Yarrowia lipolytica: one gene and its partners. The protein of the gene in region 1 interacts with the protein of each later gene in a pairwise test. Links are inferred from orthologs where the notes say so. Each region holds a gene or a part of one and is shown in the gene's direction. Other genes may lie near its edges.

The links.
Region 2: the proteins of YALI1_D11614g (region 1) and YALI1_D04772g interact in binary tests that used the Saccharomyces cerevisiae proteins (3 or more experiments, as listed by UniProt). The link is inferred for Yarrowia lipolytica from reciprocal best matches to the Saccharomyces cerevisiae genes RPT5 and RPN10.
Region 3: the proteins of YALI1_D11614g (region 1) and YALI1_B04321g interact in binary tests that used the Saccharomyces cerevisiae proteins (3 or more experiments, as listed by UniProt). The link is inferred for Yarrowia lipolytica from reciprocal best matches to the Saccharomyces cerevisiae genes RPT5 and RPN1.

The regions. Positions count from the first base shown.
Region 1 is NC_090773.1:1,159,629-1,163,401, reverse strand, and holds YALI1_D11614g (uncharacterized protein), read left to right. Parts: upstream 1-1,979; coding exon 1,980-3,221; downstream 3,222-3,773. Other genes in the region: YALI1_D11633g (uncharacterized protein), read right to left, coding at 1-20; YALI1_D11623g (uncharacterized protein), read right to left, coding at 327-1,055. UniProt on the Saccharomyces cerevisiae protein: The 26S proteasome is involved in the ATP-dependent degradation of ubiquitinated proteins. The regulatory (or ATPase) complex confers ATP dependency and substrate specificity to the 26S complex.
Region 2 is NC_090773.1:476,592-479,866, reverse strand, and holds YALI1_D04772g (uncharacterized protein), read left to right. Parts: upstream 1-1,699; coding exon 1,700-1,707; intron 1,708-1,756; coding exon 1,757-1,953; intron 1,954-1,998; coding exon 1,999-2,577; intron 2,578-2,641; coding exon 2,642-2,718; downstream 2,719-3,275. Other genes in the region: YALI1_D04789g (uncharacterized protein), read right to left, coding at 465-908. UniProt on the Saccharomyces cerevisiae protein: Multiubiquitin binding protein.
Region 3 is NC_090771.1:430,282-435,691, forward strand, and holds YALI1_B04321g (uncharacterized protein), read left to right. Parts: upstream 1-1,878; coding exon 1,879-4,818; downstream 4,819-5,410. Other genes in the region: YALI1_B04309g (uncharacterized protein), read right to left, coding at 256-663, 754-861; YALI1_B04370g (uncharacterized protein), read right to left, coding at 5,107-5,410.

The DNA.
Region 1 (3,773 bases):
GATCGTCGTCGTCCAGACATTGTGGGTGTATGAAAGTGGTTTTTCAGATTCAAAAGTTCCCTTTCTATATATTGTAAATAGAGTTTGTCTTGCAGGTAGGCAGTTAATGACATTTAGTTAGGATTACTTAATATATAGTTGGCTAAATAGTTGAATTTTAGACATTCTTTACCCAACATCAAAGTACTGCCTGTAGTGGAGAGACACCTGATTACAGACAGACCTCAGCCATCAGAATTATCAGTTTCGCATAAATAAATAACATTAGTATAGTTGTACAGATAATATAGCAGATTCCATCCCCCATACATACCTACCGTCGTCCTCTACCCCCTCTCCTTACGCTTGTTCAAGGCATTCTGAACAAGAGAGTCCCACTTGGATTTCATTTTTGTCATCTGGGCGTTGAGTTTTTCGTTCTCGGCCCGCAACTGGGCGTTTTCAGCCCGCAGATCTCTCATCGTCGCCTCGTTATGCTCCGTCAGCTCCGTCCGTAGCTTGGTACCGAGACTCTGCAACGACGTGGAACGCATCTGGGCATTCCGCTCCAGCGCTTTGACATGCACTTTCAGACGCGATACCGTCTGTTGCAAGTCCTCCGTCTCCGACATGGGCGCGTCGAATTCAAACTCCTGTTGATTGTTCATGGAGATGGATAGATTGACAAACCGGTCGATGATCTGGGCGAAATCCATGTCCGCACGCGACACCTCTCCTGTCACCAGCGCCGGTTGCTGTTGCTGTTGCTGTTGCTGTTGCTGTTGCTGTTGCTGCTCCAACTCTTCTGCTTCCTCCTCATCGATTCTTGCAATTCGCGATAACCGTGAATTCTCAAGGCCCTCGAGTTTAGACGACTCGCCAAGATGGTGCGCATACATGGTATCGAGCGCCCGTTGAACCGACGCGTTGGAGGACAGTTTCTTGGCCTGTAGCAGCTGAGAAGCGGCCTCCTTGTGTTTCTCTATCGCCTTACCATAGTCTTTGTTGGCGACGGCCGTTTGCGCCGACTTGGCCAGTGAATACGCCTTGTTGAGCGCGGCTTCCGGTTGTGACATGCAAACTGGCAGGTGGACGGTATTAGTACTGATGGTGTCTCTTTGGTGATCAGCTCACGCCGTCGTCATAATAGTCAAGTGACTTGATAGCTGAATTAGGTTTAGATAGTGATAGTGACTGATTATTAATAAAAAAGAAAAAAGAAGAAAGAAAGAAGAAAAAAAAGAAAGAAAAATAAAAAAAATAAAAAAACCAACACGATTGATCTGTGTACAGAAATGGGATTTGGTGATTAATAAACGAAATGAGAGGATCCTTACTTACATAATCGACACTGTGTTCGTCTTGTACATACCGGTGTAGAACACTTGGACCACTGTATGTCAACCAACGCCATCGCTGACATAAGCAAAAGTGGCAACCGGTGGCGTGCTGTGACATATATACAAATAATGACTAATCAGAGATCACGAGTGACGTGATTAATGGCCAGATCAAGACCTTTTGATAACGTAAGACGTACAGACTCACCAATATCAGTGTTGGAAGACTCAAGAAGAAGTGTGTCTGATTGATTTAACCATATATAATTAATACTAATTATATTAATGGTTGGTTGGATGAGGGCTATAACTTTGGAGCCAAAGGAGTATATCCAAACAACGGCAATTGACGGTATTTCCAAAACAAAAAACACAATATTACGAAATCACGTGATTTTACGTCGAGCTGTGTCTTTGGATTTTCGATAGCGTCTCTAGATCGTCTGCGACAGTCTTCCTTTGGTGTCCAGTGTTGCTCTACCACTTCAGTGGCAATTAAGGTTTCTCGAACAGTGTGTCCACCACATCACCGCAGGGCACCTCTCTCAGCTCACAACCAACACTCCAACTAGACCATCATCACAATCCGTGTTAGCTCTGTGCCCGCACTTTTTATTCTAGACACCACCGCTACGCACACATAAGACTCTGCCCGTGACAATGGAAGACCTAGATTTCGACATTGCGTCCAACTCGACCCAAGACATTCTCAACCGCAAACGGCTTCTGGAGAATGAAATCAAAATCATGAAGTCCGAGTTCCAGCGGCTCAGCCACGAGCGCAACACCATGAACGAGAAGATCAAGGACAACGCGGACAAGATTGAAAACAACAAGGTGCTGCCGTATCTGGTTGGCAACGTGGTGGAGCTGCTGGACATGGAGGGCGAGGTGGCCGAGGAGGGCGCCAATGTTGACGTGGAGGCGTCTCGAGTCGGCAAGTCTGCTGTCATCAAAACGTCCACCCGACAAACGGTGTTTCTGCCGCTCGTGGGACTCGTCGATCCTGAAACTCTCAAGCCCGGCGATCTGATTGGAGTCAACAAGGATTCGTTTCTGATTCTGGACACCCTGCCCGCAGAGTACGACTCGCGAGTCAAGGCCATGGAGGTGGACGAAAAGCCCAAGGAAACCTACGCAGACATTGGAGGTCTTGACAAGCAGGTGGAGGAGCTCGTGGAGGCCGTGGTACTGCCTCTCAAGCAGGCTGAAAAGTTCAAGCAACTCGGCATCAAGCCCCCAAAGGGCGCTCTCATGTACGGCCCTCCCGGAACCGGAAAGACTCTGCTGGCCCGAGCCTGTGCCGCCCAATCTAACGCCACTTTCCTGAAGTTGGCTGCGCCCCAGCTGGTTCAGATGTTCATTGGTGACGGTGCCAAGCTGGTGCGAGACGCCTTTGCTCTGGCCAAGGAGAAGGCCCCCACCATCATTTTCATCGACGAGCTGGATGCCATTGGAACGAAGCGATTCGACTCGGACAAGTCCGGAGACCGAGAGGTGCAGAGAACCATGTTGGAGCTGCTCAACCAGCTGGACGGTTTCGGATCCGACGACCGAGTCAAGGTCCTTGCCGCCACCAACCGAGTCGATGTGCTGGATCCCGCTCTGCTTCGATCCGGACGTCTTGACCGAAAGATTGAGTTCCCTCTGCCTTCCGAATCGGCACGAGCCGACATTCTGCAGATCCACTCGCGAAAGATGACCTGCGACGACTCCATCAACTGGATGGAGCTGGCACGATCTACCGACGAGTTCAACGGAGCACAGCTCAAGGCTGTGACTGTGGAGGCGGGTATGATTGCGCTTCGGTCTGGCAAGAACAAGATCACCCACGAGGACTTTGTTGAGGCCATCACCGAGGTCCAGGCACGAAAGTCCAAGTCCGTGTCTTTCTATGCATAAGTATGTTATATACCTAATCTGATGAAATTGTACGAGTCGTGAGAGGCTGCAAAGACACCTGTATAAATGCTGTACCCGTGGTTTGCGATTTTTCAACGCTTTAACATGATTTCTCACTAAGAAAACATGCTTTATTTATGATGTCATTTCGTAGGGAACAAGCCCCTTCTTATTTCAGAGATCAGTGGAAAATAAAAACAAAAAAAACAGTCCTTGCTCTCAAACAAGAAGCAAAAGACACAAACACAACTGACATCTATATAATAAGCTGTCCGTCTCCATCCTCGCGTCCACCTCACCTTGTCCGGTCCGGTTCTAAACGATTGCGTGGTATGTCGTTATACTTCACTTTAGCTCCGGTTGTCAAAGGGAACATGCATAGACCACGCTCGTCTTGGCCAAACCGTAAGTTTACGCTCCAGTTTGCATCTCCACTTACGATAGTCGACAGGAACACAACTGGGCTGAATACGACGAGACCGAGAGCGCACAAACGCCCACAGACACAGAAACAAAACACACGACCGTTGGGACTTGGCACGAGCATGCAAA
Region 2 (3,275 bases), about 680 kb from region 1:
GAGACGAGGTGGCCGGTCGCATTGGTGAACGCAGCGACTTGCCAGGGGATCGAATTGGCGACTTTGTGTTAAGCCGAGCGTCCAAATCCATGGGTGTGGTCATGCTGGGTTAGTTAATTTAATGTAGTGAATGGCCGTAAGTCACGAGGAGACAACAACTTCTCAAGTTGAGTTCAGAGGAAGCACTGGCTGAATGTACAAATACTGTACCTGTAGACAGATTGTGCAGCTGAGTAGTGATACATACAAACTGACATGTCAGAAACTCTAGACGTGTAAATATCATGTCAACCGCTTGTAGAAGCACTGTAGGTATCAACTTCCTCCTTCTTGAGTGACTTTCCCATTTATTTATTCCCAATTTCTTCTGATTTGACATCTTCATAATCAGACAAAGTCAGAAAAAACCAGGTATAATGACAATCCGCATAAAACTCCACCTTCTCCACCTTTCCTAACCACACTCACTCATGGGGAATTGTGAACTTGGGAATGTTGTGGAATCCCTGGCCGAAATTCAACTTGTTTGGCTTTCTGTCCTTGAGGGCTCCATCCTGCAGAGCTTGGACCTCCCGTAAAGTCTTGTTCCAGTACCGTTTGGGCACGCGGGTCTTTCTGATTTCAATTTTGGCGCGAACCGCCTGCGCAGCAAATTGATATTGCGACTTGAGTCGCTCGATTCTGTTGGTGACTGTGTTAATACCGAGTCTGTTTGTATGTTGTGCCCTCTGAATGGAGTCCCTATACTCACGTTCGAGCTGTAGGTTTTCAATGAGGTCGTTTTTCTGGACCTCAGTCAGCGGCTTGCGGGCCATGTTGCTAGGAAACTGGTCCATTTCCGTGGGCATAGTGAAAGTGGAAAATGTCGGTGATGTGTGTTGAGTGCTGTGTGCTGGTGAAGTTGTCATGCCGATCCTCTGTTTATCTACGTTGCCCCGGTTACGCTGGGATATATGATTAAGGTTATAATATCAAAACTTTATGTTGATTAGTCAGCAAATGAGGTGAGAAGATGAAAGGGCTTGGTTTGTGGAAGATTGGTTCCGTTGGAAAGAAGCAAAAAATTGAGAAACGAGTGACTCAATCAGAATAAGCTGACAAAGACAATCATTTTGATATACCAAAGTCTCTATATTGTATTTACCGACCGCATTTTACGAGGGAGATCTGATGATAATGGTCCCATTAGCTCAATATGACAATAGGGACATCATTGCTATGCGCCACAAGTGGTCCAGATGACTGTTGAGTAAGAAGATATAAAAAAAAACATAATCAAAATAGGAAACAATCAGCAGCTATGACTCTCAAATATCAAATTGCTCCAGTCTAGGACAACTTTTTTGAAGATTCTGTCTCCAACTAAAGCTAACTAATTAAACTCAGTATTGTTTAGGGCAACAGTTGAGCATTGCTACCCTCAATACTCTCCCATAACTCGACTTCCAGTACTCCGATCGGGTTTTTAAAAGAAGTAACTAATATATCCAACTTTTCCCCAAAGATAGTGCAAATTCCGCTCTCACCAGCCCAAATCCGCCACACTTGATATGGTGGCAAATCGCCTACTGTCCAAACTCTATCACCGCTGACGTCAGCACTCTGTCCCAACCACTATAACCATTGCCACAGATCACCACTCTACACACCACACAACAAGACACAACAGAAGCGCATCACGATGGTTTTGGAAGCAACAATGATAGTGTGAGTATTACCGACGGCCAATGATGTTATCCACACCCCGCTAACACAGAATGGACAACTCCGAGTTCATGCGAAACGGAGACTACACCCCCAACCGGTTCGATGCCCAGGTGGACTGTGTCAACCAGCTCTTCACCATCAAGACCAACCGCAACCCTGAGAGCGCAGTGGGTCTGATGAGCATGGGCGGCCGAGGTCCTGAGGTGCTTGCCACCCTCACCACAGACCACGGCAAGATTCTGGCCGGTATCCACGACACTCATATCACCGGTGCTCCCCACCTCACCACAGGCATTCAGGTGGCCGCGCTGGCTCTCAAACACAGACTCAACAAGCTGCAGCGGCAACGGGTGATTGTGTTTGTGGGATCGCCGGTCGAGGAGGACGTCAAGGCACTGGTCAAGCTTGCCAAGAAGATGAAGAAGAACAGCGTGGCGGTGGACTTTGTCAATTTCGGCGAGGAGGGCGAAAACACAGAGAAGCTGGAAAAGTTCATCGAGGCCGTCAACTCAGGCGACAACTCTCACCTGGTCACCATCCCCCCTGGCCCTCATCTGCTGTCAGACATTCTGCGCAACTCTCCCATCATCAAGGAAGACGACGACGGAATGGATACTTCGGGCATGGGCGGCGCTCCTGGCGGCTCCAACGACGCGGACTTTGAGTTTGGTGTGGACCCCAGCGTGGATCCCGAGCTGGCTCTGGCGCTGCGAATGTCGCTGGAGGACGAAAAGGCCCGACTGGAGAAGGAGAAGGAGCAGCCCGAGAAGCTGGATTCGGTTAAGGAAGAGGACGTGAAGAAGGAAGATGAGGATGCAAGTGGAGAGGACAAGGGTAAGGACAAGAAGGATGACGACAAGATGGATACGAGTGCGTAATCGAAGCACGCTTGAAATATGTGAAGCACAATTGAGAGGCGACTAGGGCGACTGAGCGCGATGCGACGAAGGAATTGGTAGACACAGATCATGTGTTATAATCACAAGATCGACTTCGTCCACCCTGCACTAATCCATACGCACCTTAGAAGTGCAGCCCTAGGATAGGTAGGAATCAATGATATATGAATGCAAGTTCTCTGAGTGCAAGCACGAGGGGAATTGAGGTGGTGTGGTGTAGCTGTGAACATGTAGATGCTGTGTATCTGAGCTACTCTGGTTGTTTTATCGTGGTTGTGATGGATTGGATAATTAGCTTGCTCATTAAGGGATGCGGGGCTGTACCTTATCTGCTGACACCGTTGGCGATTCTCGATGGCAGGAATATAATCATGCTCTTCCCAGTTCTGTCCGAGGTTTATATGAGTTATTGTATGTAGAATCCATTAAACATGTGTTTGAGGAGGAAATGTCCTCTATCAGAAGAAAATTGTAGTTATGCGTACCACCAAGAACATCAATGGATAGCCTTTGACGGATCAATTGATGACCTGAGATCTTCATATAGAAAGAGCTATTTGGATTAACATGAGGTGGGCCCAAATGCCGCTGTTGTCTCTTCTGTCAACTACAAGTACCAGTACACAAGAGTAGGATCAGAGCTTTGATCTGTACTTGTACAAGTAGTAA
Region 3 (5,410 bases), on another chromosome or scaffold:
TACATAGTGGAAAGCAGAGGCTCTCCAGTTCATGACTGGTGTTGTGCTACAGTATGTACTAGGCATACATATCAAACTAGTACCTCACGTGATATGAGCACTGTGTATTGAATAAATACCCCACACACTCGGACTCATCACCCATGCCCGGCTTCCCCTGGTGTGTGGATATGCTGTCAGTTCACGTAGCTTACCTCGCGTGACTGACTAACAGGATACTTGGTGCCTTTGGCAGTGCCGTTGATTACCAGCTGTCTACGGTCTGGAAGTAGCGACAGTACCGCAAGCCTTGCATGTTCGCTTTTCAATGTCACCGTCAAAATCAAGAATGGCCTCCTTAATCTGGGTGCCGAGATCGACGAGCTGGAACGAGTTCTCAAACACAATCTCTCGGCACTTTTCGTTAGGACAGTACCATCGCAGAGCGTCCTTCATGCCCTCGGGACGGTCCTGTTCAACCACAACACCAATGGTGTCGGCATATCGAACGGGGTTGTGGGGCACGTTGGCGGGGAGCAGGAAGATATCGCCCTCGTTGATAGTGATATCTCTGAACTCTCCATCGTCCACCACCTTGAGAGTCATGTGGCCCTTCTTCTGGTGGAACCATTCAGGGGTCTGGTTGATGTGGTAGTCAGTTCGAGCATTAGGTCCTCCAACGATCTGTGTTAGTTGATTGGGCAATGGCAAATCACAATAGTTGTGAATCATCTTCCCCAGCTGGATCATTGACTCATGTCATAAATCACTCACCATAACAGTGTAGCCTCCTCGCTGGATACAAAAGTTGTTAACCGGAGGCTTCAGCAGGTGCTGGTTCTCCTCGAGCCACTTGGGCAGATTGATTGGTTCCTGGAGCATGGGTGACGAGTGGTGAGATGTACTGGAAAAGAAGAGCTCACGCCATATTCTATATGCCATGTATGTGGGGCGAATAAACTCAGACAATCATGTGGGGGTGGAGGGAGTATATCTTAGTGTTGAGGAGATGATTGAGAAACTGGACTATGTAGATGGGATTTTCTTGCCTGAAATATTCATTTGACGGTTTCAAAATAAAAAATGGACCCCTTCTCGCCCCAAAATCAGCTTTCGGAGTTATGTTAATCTCCGTAAGCATGCAGGATTCATATGCACTTAATCAGTAGAGACCCTTGATTATGTTAACCAAGTCTGCGGTAGACCAGCAGGTGGGCAGACAAGAGTTGGATTTGTTAATGAGGTTTTAGAAGGTGCGGCAAAGTAGTGATAGCCACTGGCTGACACTTGTGAGCTAAAGTGGCCATGTATGGGGTCAGATACACAGCCACTGTATCAAGTGTTACAGTACACGATGTTCTGGTAGCTGTCTATTCCAAAACACCTCCACACCTTCAAAGCTCTTCAATTGTGCGCTCTCATTTTAGCAATCGAATTGGTATGAGCTTTGGGCGCAGTTTATACGCTTTTGCGATGCTTTCGGTTTCTCTGGTCATGTAATCTGGTTGGATATGATGCAAAGAACGGCAACATGTACAGTATTCACCGATCCAAATCAAACACATCAGGATAACCACACCAGTTAGCTTATGTAATCATGATCCCAACAGAATCCCCAGCAGGGGTGCTTTGAGGCACAAGTCGACAAGTTGTCTTAAGATTACAAGAATATAAGTATCTCGATCCAGTCAAATCAGTCAAATCAGTTTAATCTCATTCTACCAACCCATTCAACTACACCACCGCCGCTCACGTCCCATCCACTCGTACCCACCTGCAAATCGAACTCGCGCCACCTCCCAATAACCTTCTTTAGGCTTCTCACAACCACATCCACATACAAGTAGACGTCATTGGAATTGCCACTGATCTCTTTACCACCCGACATCGATCTCAATCATGGCTGCCAAGGACGTGACTAATAAGCCGAGCGACAAGTCGGCTGAGAAGACCGTCGACAAGACCGCCCCCAACGACAAGAACAAAAAACCAGCCCGAAAGGATGAAGAGGAGCTGTCTGAGGAGGACGAGAAGCTCAAGTCGGAGCTGGAGATGCTGGTTGAGCGTCTGACCGAGAAGGACGAGTCTCTGTACGAGCCCTCGCTCGAGGCTCTCAAAAACTTCATTCGAACCTCGACCTCGTCCATGACCGCTGTGCCCAAGCCTCTCAAGTTTCTGCGGCCCCACTACCCCCAGCTTGCTGAGCTCTACGACACCTGGACCGATGCCAAACACAAGCAGCAGCTCGCAGACGTGCTTTCCGTCCTCGCAATGACCTACTCCGGCGACGGCAAGCGAGATGCACTCAAATTCCGACTCAAGTCGACCACCGACGATCTGGGATCTTGGGGACACGAGTATGTTCGCCACCTTGCTCTGGAAATCGGCCAGGAGTATCAATTGCAGCAGGTTGAGACCAGCGACGATGCCAAGGAGGGCGTAACTCTGGACACCCCCAATTCTGGTGTTGGATCGCTCACCGACGTACGAAACCTGGGCATCAAGCTGGTACCCTTTTTCCTCAAACACAACGCCGAAGCCGACGCCGTGGACTTGTTGCTGGAGATTGAGGCCGTCGAGCATCTACCTAAATTCGTTGACGAAACCACATACGCCCGTGTTTGCCATTACATGGTCGCCTGTGTGCCCCTGCTGGCACCCCCAGATGACGTGGCCTTCCTACACACCGCTTATGCTATCTACCTGGCCCACCGCCAGCTGACCCAGGCTCTGGCCCTGGCGATCCGTCTGGATGACATGGAGCTCATTAAATCGGTTATGGATGCTGCCAGTGGCGACGATTTGCTGCAGAAGCAGCTGGCGTTCATTCTAGCTCGACAAAAGTGCTACTTTGATGTGGCTGACGAGGGCGTACAGGAGTGCATGTCCAACGCCCTGCTGGCTGACCACTTCCGATACCTCACTAAGGAGCTCAACCTGCTGGAGCCAAAGGTTCCAGAAGACATCTACAAGAGCCACCTGGAGAACTCAAGAGACATCATCATGTCGGGGGCCTTTGACTCTGCCAAGCAGAACCTGGCTGCGTCGTTCGTCAATGCCTTTGTCAATTGTGCTTACTCGGCAGACCGTCTGCTGACCAATGGAGGTGCTGAGGATGATGGAGACGCTACTGCTGGAGGAGCATCTGGTGCCTGGATCTACAAGACCAAGCTCGCTGGAATGTACTCCACCACAGCCTCTCTGGGATCTCTGTTCCAGTGGGATCTCAGTCGAGGTCTGCAGCAACTCGACAAGTACGCCTACTCTTCCGAGCCCCAGATCAAGGCTGGAGCTCTTCTGGGTATGGGTATTGTCACTGCTGGTGTCTACGACGAGACAGACGCTGCTGTCGCTCTTCTTGCCGACCACATCACCGAGGAGCCCTCAGCTGAGAACAACAACGGCAACGCATACAACTTGAACCAGCTTTCTGCTGTGATGGGTCTGGGTGTTGCATACGCCGGATCTCGACGGACAGATCTTCTGGATATGCTCCTGCCTTTGGTTCAGGACACTGACACCTCCATGAAGACCTCTGCCATGGCTGCTCTTGCTCTGGGACACATCTTCGTCGGCTCTGCTAACGGAGACGTCGTTTCTGCTCTGTTGGGATCTCTGCTTGAGCGAGATGCCATCCAGCTGTCTGACAAGTGGGCCCGATTCATGGCTCTGGGTCTTGCTCTTTTGTTTATTGGCAAGTACGAGGAGATTGAGGAGGCAGTTGAGACTGTTCGAGCCATTGACCATCCTCTGGGCCGAATCTGCGAGACTCTCATCACTGTGTGTGCCTACGCCGGTACTGGTAACGTTCTGCAGATCCAGAAGTTGCTGCATGACTGTGTTGGAGAGAATGTTACTGAGGGAGAGGCTGACGGAGAAGGCGATGGTGAAGGTGAGGGTGCTGAGGGTGCTGTTGCTACCGCTGAGGGTGCTGAGGGTGCTGCGGATGCTGCTGACGCCATTGACGCTACCGCCGAAGCCGTCGCCGCCGAAGGAGAGGCTGCTGCTGATGCTACACAGGAGGTGGACTCGGAAGAGGCCTCTTCTCACCAGGCATACTCTGTTCTTGGTCTGGCCATTGTTGCAATGGGTGAGGAAATTGGCCAGGAGATGGTTCTCCGACACTTTGGTCATCTCATGCACTACGGCGATGCCCAGGTGAAGCGAGCTGTTCCTCTTGCCATGGGTCTGGTGTCTGCTTCCAACGCACAGATGCGTGTGTTTGACACCTTGTCGCGATACTCACATGACGCCGATATGGAGGTTGCTCTGAATTCCATCTTCTCCATGGGTCTGGTGGGAGCGGGAACTAACAACGCCCGTCTGGCCCAGCTGCTCCGACAGCTCGCCTCCTACTACTCTAAGGATCCCGACGGACTTTTCACCGTCCGAATCGCCCAGGGTCTGCTCTATCTGGGTAAGGGTACTCTTACTGTGTCTCCTTTCCATACCGATCGACAGATTCTGTCCAAGGTGTCTCTGGCATCGCTGGTTACCCTTCTGGTGACCATGATCGACCCCAAGTCGTTCATCCTAGCCGACAACCACTGGATGCTCTTCTGGCTCACTAACGCCATTCGTCCCCGCATGCTCATCACTCTGGACGAGAAGCTGGAGCCTATCAAGGTGCCCGTGCGAGTCGGACAGGCTGTGGATACAGTCGGTCAGGCCGGAAAGCCCAAGACCATCACCGGCTGGGTCACTCATAGCACTCCCGTGTTGCTGAGTCATGGCGAGCGAGCCGAGCTGGAGGACGACGAGTACATTCCTCTGGCCTCGTCTCTGGAGGGCGTTGTCATTCTCAAGAAGAACCCCGACAGAATGGATGAGAGCAGTTAGCATACTCTGATAGGTATGGAATGAATAAATGGAAATGAATAGTAGGATACAGCAATAAATGGCAGGAGCGTAGTAACGGATGTACAGCCGCGATTTGATCTATTCTAAAGTCAGTAATAGTTATTCAGATTCTATAGCGTAGCTACAGTACAAGTGACAGTACGACGATACTCTGAACTGTAGGTAATTTCAGATGATTATTCTATACATACATTCGTACCGTAGTAGTTTCGTGGTTCATCATAATCCATCGCTGACCACAGACAATAACAGGTTCGCTCACATCGTCTATTTGTTCTGTGTGATCGACTCCTCCATCTCCGCAACCAACTTCTTTCGGTCGTCCACTCTCTCCTTCTCCTCGATAGCCTTACCCTCCCATCTGCTCCAGATGAGCTGTTCACAAGAGTTGATGCTGGCTCTGGCCTTCTCAAAAACTGCAACAGAGAAGTCGCTGCAGAGAGCGTCCCAGGTCTTTTGCAGCTTGAAACATCCCCAGACAATACCAAAGGCTGCGATAGAGCCCATGTTGTAAAGAGAAAGGTCGTAGAGGTATACTCCAAGAGCAGGAATGATGACTGTAGGAAGCTGG